Caenorhabditis elegans: one gene and its partner. The protein of the gene in region 2 purifies or fractionates together with the protein of the main gene of each other region. This does not show direct contact. Each region holds a gene or a part of one and is shown on either strand. Other genes may lie near its edges.

Region 1 (4,695 bases), on a different chromosome or scaffold from region 2:
TTGTCCGCAAGCTTCTCAGCCACCTGTTCCTCTTTGCTTTGCGGCAGCAGAAGATTCACGTACTCGTCGTCCGCTGGTTTTTTACCGTTGGAGCACTGACTGTCTGGCTTCGATTTATTCTGAAAAAGAGCATGTTGAAGCTTCAGAAGTTTTAAACTCGAAATTTCAGAACTTACCAGGCTCAGCGGCTCGTAGATGCTGTTGTACGGAGTTCTGGAGTTCCCATCGTCCACACTTTCCGCTTGATTTTTACCATAAGGGCACTGACCGTTGTGCTTGCAACATCCATCCGGCTTTGATTTGATCTGAAAAAGATACTGTTAAAGCTTCAAAAGCTCAAACTGAAAAGCTTAAAAAACTTACCAAGTTCAGCGGTTTGTAGAGGCTGTTGTACGGAGTTCGTGAGTTCCCATCGTTCATTATTTGCACCTCTTGATTAGTTGGAACTTTGTTTTACAGAAATATCAAACAATGATTGAAAAATCCACAAAATCTCCCTTGTTGTTTTTTCTTCGTTTTACCGAGTTTATTGTGGTTGCAAGAATAACCTTTCGGCCACGTAACAAAAATTGTCTTACTTTTGTGTATATTGTTGTGTTTTTTTTTCAAGTTTAAAAAAAAAAAAAAGCATATTAGACTGTGACAAAGCTTGTATCACGTTCTGCCATTCAACTTATCCCCCGAATATTCATTTGATCTTTGCCTTTCCCCATTCAGTAATCGTGAAGCTGTCGAATTATTGATGGATCTAGCATTTATGAGCAAGCTAAGGATGATTCTCAACACGTGACTAATGACCATGTGAGCCTCTCCATTTTATAGTCTGGCAAATACATACACATACCAAAAACCCAATTATCTATGGGATTGACCAGCAAGTCGGCAAATTGCCGGAATTGAAATTTTCGGCAAATCGGCAAATCGGCAAATTGTGGTTTTGCACATTTTTTTTGAAAATTTCAAAAGTTCAATTTTAATCGGCAAAATTGAACGCAACCTATGAATGTTCCTACATCTATCTTGAAAAAAAAAATCAAAAAGACACAGTTTTAAGTGTTTCCATTTTATAAAAAAACTCCTCTAAAAAGTTCCGGCAAATTGATGTTCGATAAACGGCAAATTGGCAATTTTCCGAAAATCAAAATATCCGGCAAATCGGAAAACCGGCGAATTGCCGATTTGCCGAATTTGCAGCCCATCCCTGTTCCCAAAGCCGTTTGCACGGTTATTTTTGGCCTAATGCCGCATTGAAAAATATCTTCAACATGATTTATTTCAAGATAAATCAATATCAAAAATAATACCCGGAGATCCACTAGTCTTGGACAAACAGTGCTCGAGGATCATTTCTTGCACTCCGGTTATATCAAACGAGAATTCTCATTGACCAGATAAAAATTCCTTTTTTGTGCATTGATCGGCATCATTGAACGTTAACCATGAAAAAGAAAACGATGCGACAGAAAATCAATCAACTGCAAGATCGTCAAAAAATGCGATTGAGTCATCGTAAAAACTGCATGCGTGGTGTCACAAATGCATGGTAGCTGTAACTATTTTTTTGAAGCTTCTGAACAAGAAATGAAAATCCATAATTAAACGTGTCATTTTATAATTTAATCGACACAGCAGCAACCACACATTTCGTAATGTGTCTCTCCACCTATCATTATTACTTTTCGTCCCCTTGCTTTTGCACTTACATCGACCATTTCTCATTTTCTCTCTCCACTGGCGCAACACTATTTCCCTATTTCTTCATAGTTCTTCTTGGCCTCGCCGCTGACCACTATTGTCCTTCTCTTCTCCCCGTAGTATACATAACGCCCGTATATCTTTGCGTTCCTACGTTCTACGATTTTATAGTTAATTTTACTATTCTGAACCTAAATTTCTTTCAATTTTCAGAGAAAAAAAACCATGCGTGAGGTAATCTCCATTCACGTTGGACAGGCGGGAGTTCAAATTGGAAATGCTTGCTGGGAACTATACTGTCTCGAGCACGGAATTCAACCCGATGGAACTATGCCTTCTGAGCAACAAAATGAGGGTGGATCCTTCACCACGTTCTTCTCAGATACTGGAAATGGACGCTATGTTCCGAGATCTATTTTTGTGGATCTTGAGCCAACAGTCGTCGACGAGATCCGCACTGGAAACTACAAGAAGCTGTTCCATCCAGAACAAATGATCACTGGGAAGGAAGACGCTGCTAATAACTATGCTCGTGGTCACTACACCGTTGGCAAGGAGCTCATCGACACTACTCTTGACAGAATCCGTCGTCTCGCCGACAACTGTAGTGGTCTTCAAGGATTCTTTGTCTTCCACTCCTTCGGTGGAGGTACTGGATCCGGATTCACCTCACTGCTGATGGAACGTTTGTCGGTTGACTACGGAAAGAAGTCGAAACTAGAGTTTTCAATCTATCCAGCTCCACAAGTTTCCACTGCAGTCGTTGAGCCATACAACTCGATCCTTACTACTCATACTACTTTGGAGCACTCCGATTGTGCATTCATGGTTGATAACGAGGCGATCTACGACATTTGCAAGCGAAATTTGGATGTTGACCGACCGAGTTACACCAATCTCAACAGAATTATCTCTCAGGTTTCGCAAAATACTTGTTTTAATGTATCCTATGTGTTTCCTTTTCTTTTCAGGTTGTGTCTTCAATCACCGCTTCACTCAGATTTGACGGAGCTCTCAACGTGGATCTCAACGAGTTCCAGACCAACTTGGTGCCATACCCAAGAATTCATTTCCCATTGGCCTCTTACACTCCATTGATCTCTGCCGAGAAGGCATATCACGAGGCTCTGTCTGTCAATGACATCACCAATAGCTGCTTCGAACCAGCAAATCAGATGGTCAAATGTGATCCACGCAACGGAAAGTACATGGCTGTCTGTCTTCTGTACCGCGGAGATGTTGTGCCGAAGGATGTGAACACTGCAATTACTGCCATCAAAACCAAGAGATCAGTTCAATTTGTGGATTGGTGCCCAACTGGGTTCAAGGTTGGAATCAACTACCAACCACCAACTGTGGTTCCAGGAGGTGATCTTGCCAAGGTGCCACGCGCCGTGTGCATGCTCTCCAACACTACGGCTATCGCCGAGGCCTGGTCCCGCCTGGACTACAAGTTTGACTTGATGTACGCCAAGCGCGCCTTTGTTCACTGGTAAGATTCGAGTTGTTTGAAACACAAAATATCGATTATTTGCAGGTACGTCGGAGAAGGAATGGAAGAGGGAGAGTTCACTGAGGCTCGTGAAGACTTGGCAGCTCTCGAGAAGGACTACGAAGAGGTCGGAGCTGATTCCAACGAGGGATTGGAAGAAGACGGAGAAGAGTATTGAAATGTTCACTGTTAAATACTTATGTATCATAAAGTGTTTAAATTATTAACAATTGCGAGTTTGATTGGAGGAGATTTTTTTACAAAGAAAGGGGGAAAATGGCCTATTCCATTCAATCCCAAAATGAGAAGCTTTTGGAATGCCGTTTTTAAATGCTGAAAGAACACAAAATTCGCAATGAAATGGCTACGGGAATTTCTTTACAAGTTATTTTGAAACCAGATATACATTTTCAAAGTTTATAAAATCTACTAATTTTGCATATAAATGGTCAGTTTCATTCCATTTCATAATGTGCTTTAAAAGGTATGGCCGACGTCACACTTTATAGTGTCTTCCTTGTCATTGTGCTGCTCAGCCCGCAGAGTTCCAATCAGTTTTCGGTAAGGCTTATCACTGGAAACTCCTAAAACCATGGGTTTTTTATGTGAACATTGTAGGGGCAAATACCTAAACTTTTCCTTCTTTTGATTTTAGGCTTTCAATGACGTCTGGAAGTGATATTTTTCGTAGTTTCAACACGCTCGGCGGACCAAATAACCTCATAAACTCGCTAAACGGAGTATCTTCAAACTGACATATCTCAAAAAACACACTTCTAGAAAGCAATTGTTCAAACAACAAAATAATCAGAAACATTTTTTCTATTTATTACTTTAATTTTTATTTTAATACACCAGCTATTTGTAGAGTTACACAGAGTCAAAGCCATTTTCCCAGAAATCATGAAAAATTTTGAGAACTCTTTTGTTGTGCCCGTCATAACCCAACGTTCATTGAATTGCAGAAAAAACTTTTCATGAGTTGTATGTAAGAACTATTTCTCTACATTTTATCAGTTTTAAGATTTTTGATATTTTCATGTTCAGCCAAGTTACAGACCGTTTTCTGAAAAAATCCAATTTCGCTCATAAAACTCTTCATATCTAACGTATCGACTTGAAATTTTGAACAATGATCTTTCTTTTGAGGTCTCTACAATGTCCTAAAAAATCTTTCGAAAATGTTGGCTCATCTCCAAAATCGTCCTCCGCTCCAAAATAAGAAATGGGACTTTTGCTTTTCGAAAAATGGGCGAAAAAATTAAATTGCGATTTTTGGGTCGAAAAATATATTTTTAGAAAGCTGAGAACACGCCATTTACGAATTTCATGTTCATTTTAGGTGATTTCTTCTCTGAAACGACCTAAAAATTAAACAAAAAGAACATATTTTTAATTCTCACGTGTAATTATTTGGTAATTTGCTCAGTATTTCAATTGTTTTAATGCAAATTAAAAAATTAAACGTGAGAATTAAAAATATGTTCTTTTTGTTTAATTTTTAGGTC
Region 2 (4,184 bases):
CCAATTTTTCCAATTCCTTTCTCTGACTAGTTCGGTTTAGTTTGACATTTTAACTTTCATATTTCTTACAATTTGAATTTGGGTTACTGTATTTTTATTCTACATTAATCCTGGATCGCACCGTAACAAAAAATTGTCATAGGATTTCTGTAACGCTACATTATAATTTTCGTAATTAGTAACAGTACGCCATATCTGTAATTTTTCAAAAAAAAGTATTATTTTCACCTACCGTAATATTTTTTCTGACTAGTTATTTTAGTTTAATATTTAAACTTTGATATTTGTATGCAAACTTTGGGTTACTGTACTTTGTCTATTCTACAGTAATCCTTAGTTTGCATTGTAACCGGATTACTGTAGTGTGTATTTTTCACTTATAGTATTCACTATAGCAATTAGAACTGGTTACGGTACCGTCAAAAAAATTCCTTTTGTAGCTACAGTATTTTTTTGAAAAATCAGTTTCAGTAAACACGCTCCAGCGCTCCATTTTGAAATGGTATTTTTTTCCGGAAAATCTTTGATCAAGATCATAATTAAATTAGGTCATGATCTACGTCGTCGAAGACCAATTGAACTTTAATAATTTAATAATCGGATTAAAATTGAATGAATTTTTTCTGTAAATTGTACACGATCTGTGTCAGACACACATATGTGTGCTTGTGCTTCTTTTTTTTGGAAAATCTTGAACTTAAAGGGTTTAACTTATAGGTTACGGTAGCTACAGTAACGTACTGTAGGTCCTACCACGATTTTTTAGAAATCAAATTTTTTAGATCTTCAAAAAAATATTCATGACAAATTTTTCTTGTAAAAAAATACAGTACCATACTCGAAAGAACCTCGGTGGCCGAGTTTTTCTTCAAAATTTCAAAAATATTATTTCCTAGATAAACACAAAACTCGGCCAGAAATTGCCTGCAGTCCCTTGTTGTGGCCCAGTTTTTTTTTTTCAATTTCTCGGCCGTCTGTGAAAAGATTTTTTTTTTGAAAAAAAAATCAACCTCCGGCAATTTTCTCAATAAATTCACGAGTGCCTATCAATTAAAAATTAAAAACACTCATCCCTTTTATCTAATTTGCGTCATAAAATACGTGCTTCGCGCGTAATTCGCCTGTCTCTTTTTCTCTGAAAACACCACAAAGAACTGTTTCTCCGACGGACAGCACATGACTTCCGATTGTAGTGGGCGGAGCCTATGCAGTCTGTATTAGTGTGCAAAAAGTTTTTAGTCTTTCAACTGTGTTGACCGATACCTATTTTTAGCATCTTAATTGGAAACATTTTCAAATTTTTCGCGATTTTTGTGTAAAAAAAACACGGTACCCGGTCTCGACACAACAGTTTAAAAAAAATTAAATTCAAACAGGTGTGCGCCTTTAACGAGTACTGTAATTTAAAATTTTAGTTGTCGTGGAATTTTTGTGCATTTTTATTGTTGATTTTAAGTTTTTAGAATGAAGAGTTGTATTTTTTACCAAAAAATCGATAAAAAATTCCGCAGCAACAAAATATTGAAATTACAGTACTCCTTAAAGGCGCACACCTTTTCGCATTTAATAAAAATTTGTCGCTTCGAGATCGTACAAAAATCATAAAATTGTGCATTTTGCGGTCTGTAATTTCAAATTTTTGTTGAACATTTGTGTTTTCACGAAGAGCAGCCCAAAAACCCTTCTCCAAAATTCCTATTTCAAAATCTGAGCAAACATGGTCTCGCCCACCCCAAAATGAGATCCCATTTGTCCTAAGATGGGAAAACATGAAAAAAAGATCAAAAATTCAACAGGCTCCGCCCATACTTTTCTATAAATATCCGGCACAATTTCGAATTTTCTGAGAACTCTGTTATGAAATATTCCATTTTTTTGTAATCTTTTTTTTTAATTTTGTCAACCATTGTGACCCATATACATTTTTAAAAACCATCTTTGAAGAAATCTTTTAAAAATTTAAGAATAAAGAATATCTCTCCAGTTGTTTCAAAAAAAAACAATTTTGCGATTCTTCTCTAAAAACTTGTTTCCCTAAAAATACAGTACCCGGTCTCGACACGACAATTTTTCGTCATGTTAAATGAAAAAGCATGTGCGCCTTCAAAGATTACTGTACTTTCAAACCTATGGAACTTTTTTTTCAATTCGTCGCGTCGAGCGAGACCTGCCACCGTGTTTTGTTGTGAAAATATCGAAAATATAGTATTTAAAAAAATTCGAATTGGGTCCCGACACGATCCACGTTTCGAACTGGAACTCCAGGAATCCAGAAGGACTGTGGTAACGTAAAACTTGGGTGGGACCTAACAGTGTTTTTCTTTATTAATTTCCGTTCACCTTTTCTTCTTGAACTTCTCTGTAAATCCTTATACTCCGAAGTTTTCTCTCAAAATACCTAATTTCATTCATATTTTTCCAGTCCCTTCCACAAAAAATGCCTGGGCTCATCGGTTTGGGTCTTCTGATACTTCTCGGATTCCACGTCACCTACAGTACCCAATGCGATTGTAATTCATCCTGTGCAATTTATACGTCACCAGTTCAATGTGTCCGTTGTTGCACACATTATGTGAAACGAAGATCTCTCCCACTTCATCCCGCTCATCGAAAACGGCAGTTTTTGCTCACTGAAAGCACGAAAATCAAGCATCCGATATGGAGACGGCCTGTGGAACCAATGGTAGAAGAGTCATTGCCACGTTTAATTCGTCTTTTACTCAGAAAACCGCTTTAAAATATGGTTTCCCTCATCTTTTTTTGTTGCTCCAAAAATTAAATTAATCTTATTCTATAGTTAGATCTCAAATCTCTTTCTCATCGTTTTCCAATTACGGGTTTTGGAATTTTTGAAAATTCTTAATTTTTCATGCATAATTCTCTTCATTTCATTTCTATGTCTGCTTCTCTTGGATCTTGAATAACAAAATCATTTCAATAAATATAGTCAAATTGTTTATATACAACATACACAAATAATTTACAATAATTCGGTCGAACCGTATTCTCTCCCGTTAAGAATATCATCGATAACTTGGTTGGCTCCGATCGCGAATCCGAAGGCAAGCATTTTTCGATTAATCAAGAGACCCGTGATCTGGAAAAAGAAATCTTGAATTTCAAAAGTTTGACAATGTTAATCTTATTTTCGGGGTGAGACCCAAGACTGTGTTTTGCTTTCCACCAAAAAATTATTTTATTGCAAAAAAATTAATTATTGCAAAAATTGAATTGTACTAAGCTTCATTGCCATCTTTCTTCTATAAATACAAGTGGTTTTTCGAGTTAAAAAACTAAATTTTTCCTGCACAGTGCAAATTTCTAGATAACCCATAATTTTCGTTTGAAAAAACCGTTACTTTTCCGGAAAAATCACATTTTTCAATGATTTCTGACTTAATGTCTTACCGCATATAAAATATTGAGAAGAAAAGTGACGAAAACCGTAGAGGTTATGTAGATATTCCGGAAATTCAAATATTTTCCAATTCTTTTCTGGCTGTTCACAATCAAATCAGTAATCTCTTCGTCTGATAAGTGTTTCTGGAAAAAAAAAATTAAAATGTTTGATTATTTAAAAAAATTTAATTTTCAAATATTTTTGGCAAAATTTTTCCTCCGGTACACGGTCTCCCCACGACAATTTTGTTAAATGTAAAAGGGTGTGCACCTTGAAAAAGTACTGTAGTTTCAAACATTGGAATTTTCATCGACTTTTTAAAATTTATGTGTTTTTACTGTTTTTTCTCTCAATAATTGAATATACTTTAAAGAAAAAAATATGAAAAAAACGAAGAAAATTCCAAAGCCACTGAAGTTTGAAATTACAGTAATCTTTAAAGGTGCACCCAATTTAATTTAACAAAAATTGTCGTGTCAAGACCGGATCGGCGAAAAAATTGCTAAATTTGGCTTGAAGACCTTCAAAAATTCTTTATTTAATATCAAAATCACCTGTTCTTCAATATCATTCATTCGAGCAGTTGAAGTGCTTACTGATAGCCGACCGAGCACAAATAAGGATCGAACAAATACTCGATAGCTCTGAATAAATTTTAATTAATATTTTTCATTGAATTTCCGGATTAATTAAAATCAGGACCCTCACTTTTTGTTTTTTGGACGAAAAACACCAAAAAAATAATTTTTTGCCAAAAAAACCACAACCCTGATTCAGATTTGAT

The links. Proteins that work in one complex are often made in the same cells at the same time.
Region 1: the proteins of nssp-5 (region 2) and tba-4 fractionate together in Caenorhabditis elegans (co-fractionation; one large-scale study listed by BioGRID). This does not show direct contact.

Annotation. Positions count from the first base shown.
Region 1 is NC_003280.10:10,916,798-10,921,492, forward strand, and holds tba-4 (Tubulin alpha chain), read left to right. Parts: upstream 1-1,908; 5' UTR 1,909-1,920; coding exon 1,921-2,613; intron 2,614-2,666; coding exon 2,667-3,187; intron 3,188-3,232; coding exon 3,233-3,365; 3' UTR 3,366-3,419; downstream 3,420-4,695. Other genes in the region: F44F4.10 (PARP catalytic domain-containing protein), read right to left, coding at 1-119, 177-305, 364-420.
Region 2 is NC_003279.8:4,588,153-4,592,336, reverse strand, and holds nssp-5 (uncharacterized protein), read left to right. Parts: upstream 1-2,437; coding exon 2,438-2,737; downstream 2,738-4,184. Other genes in the region: D1007.10 (Gustatory receptor), read right to left, coding at 2,981-3,097, 3,409-3,543, 3,955-4,044.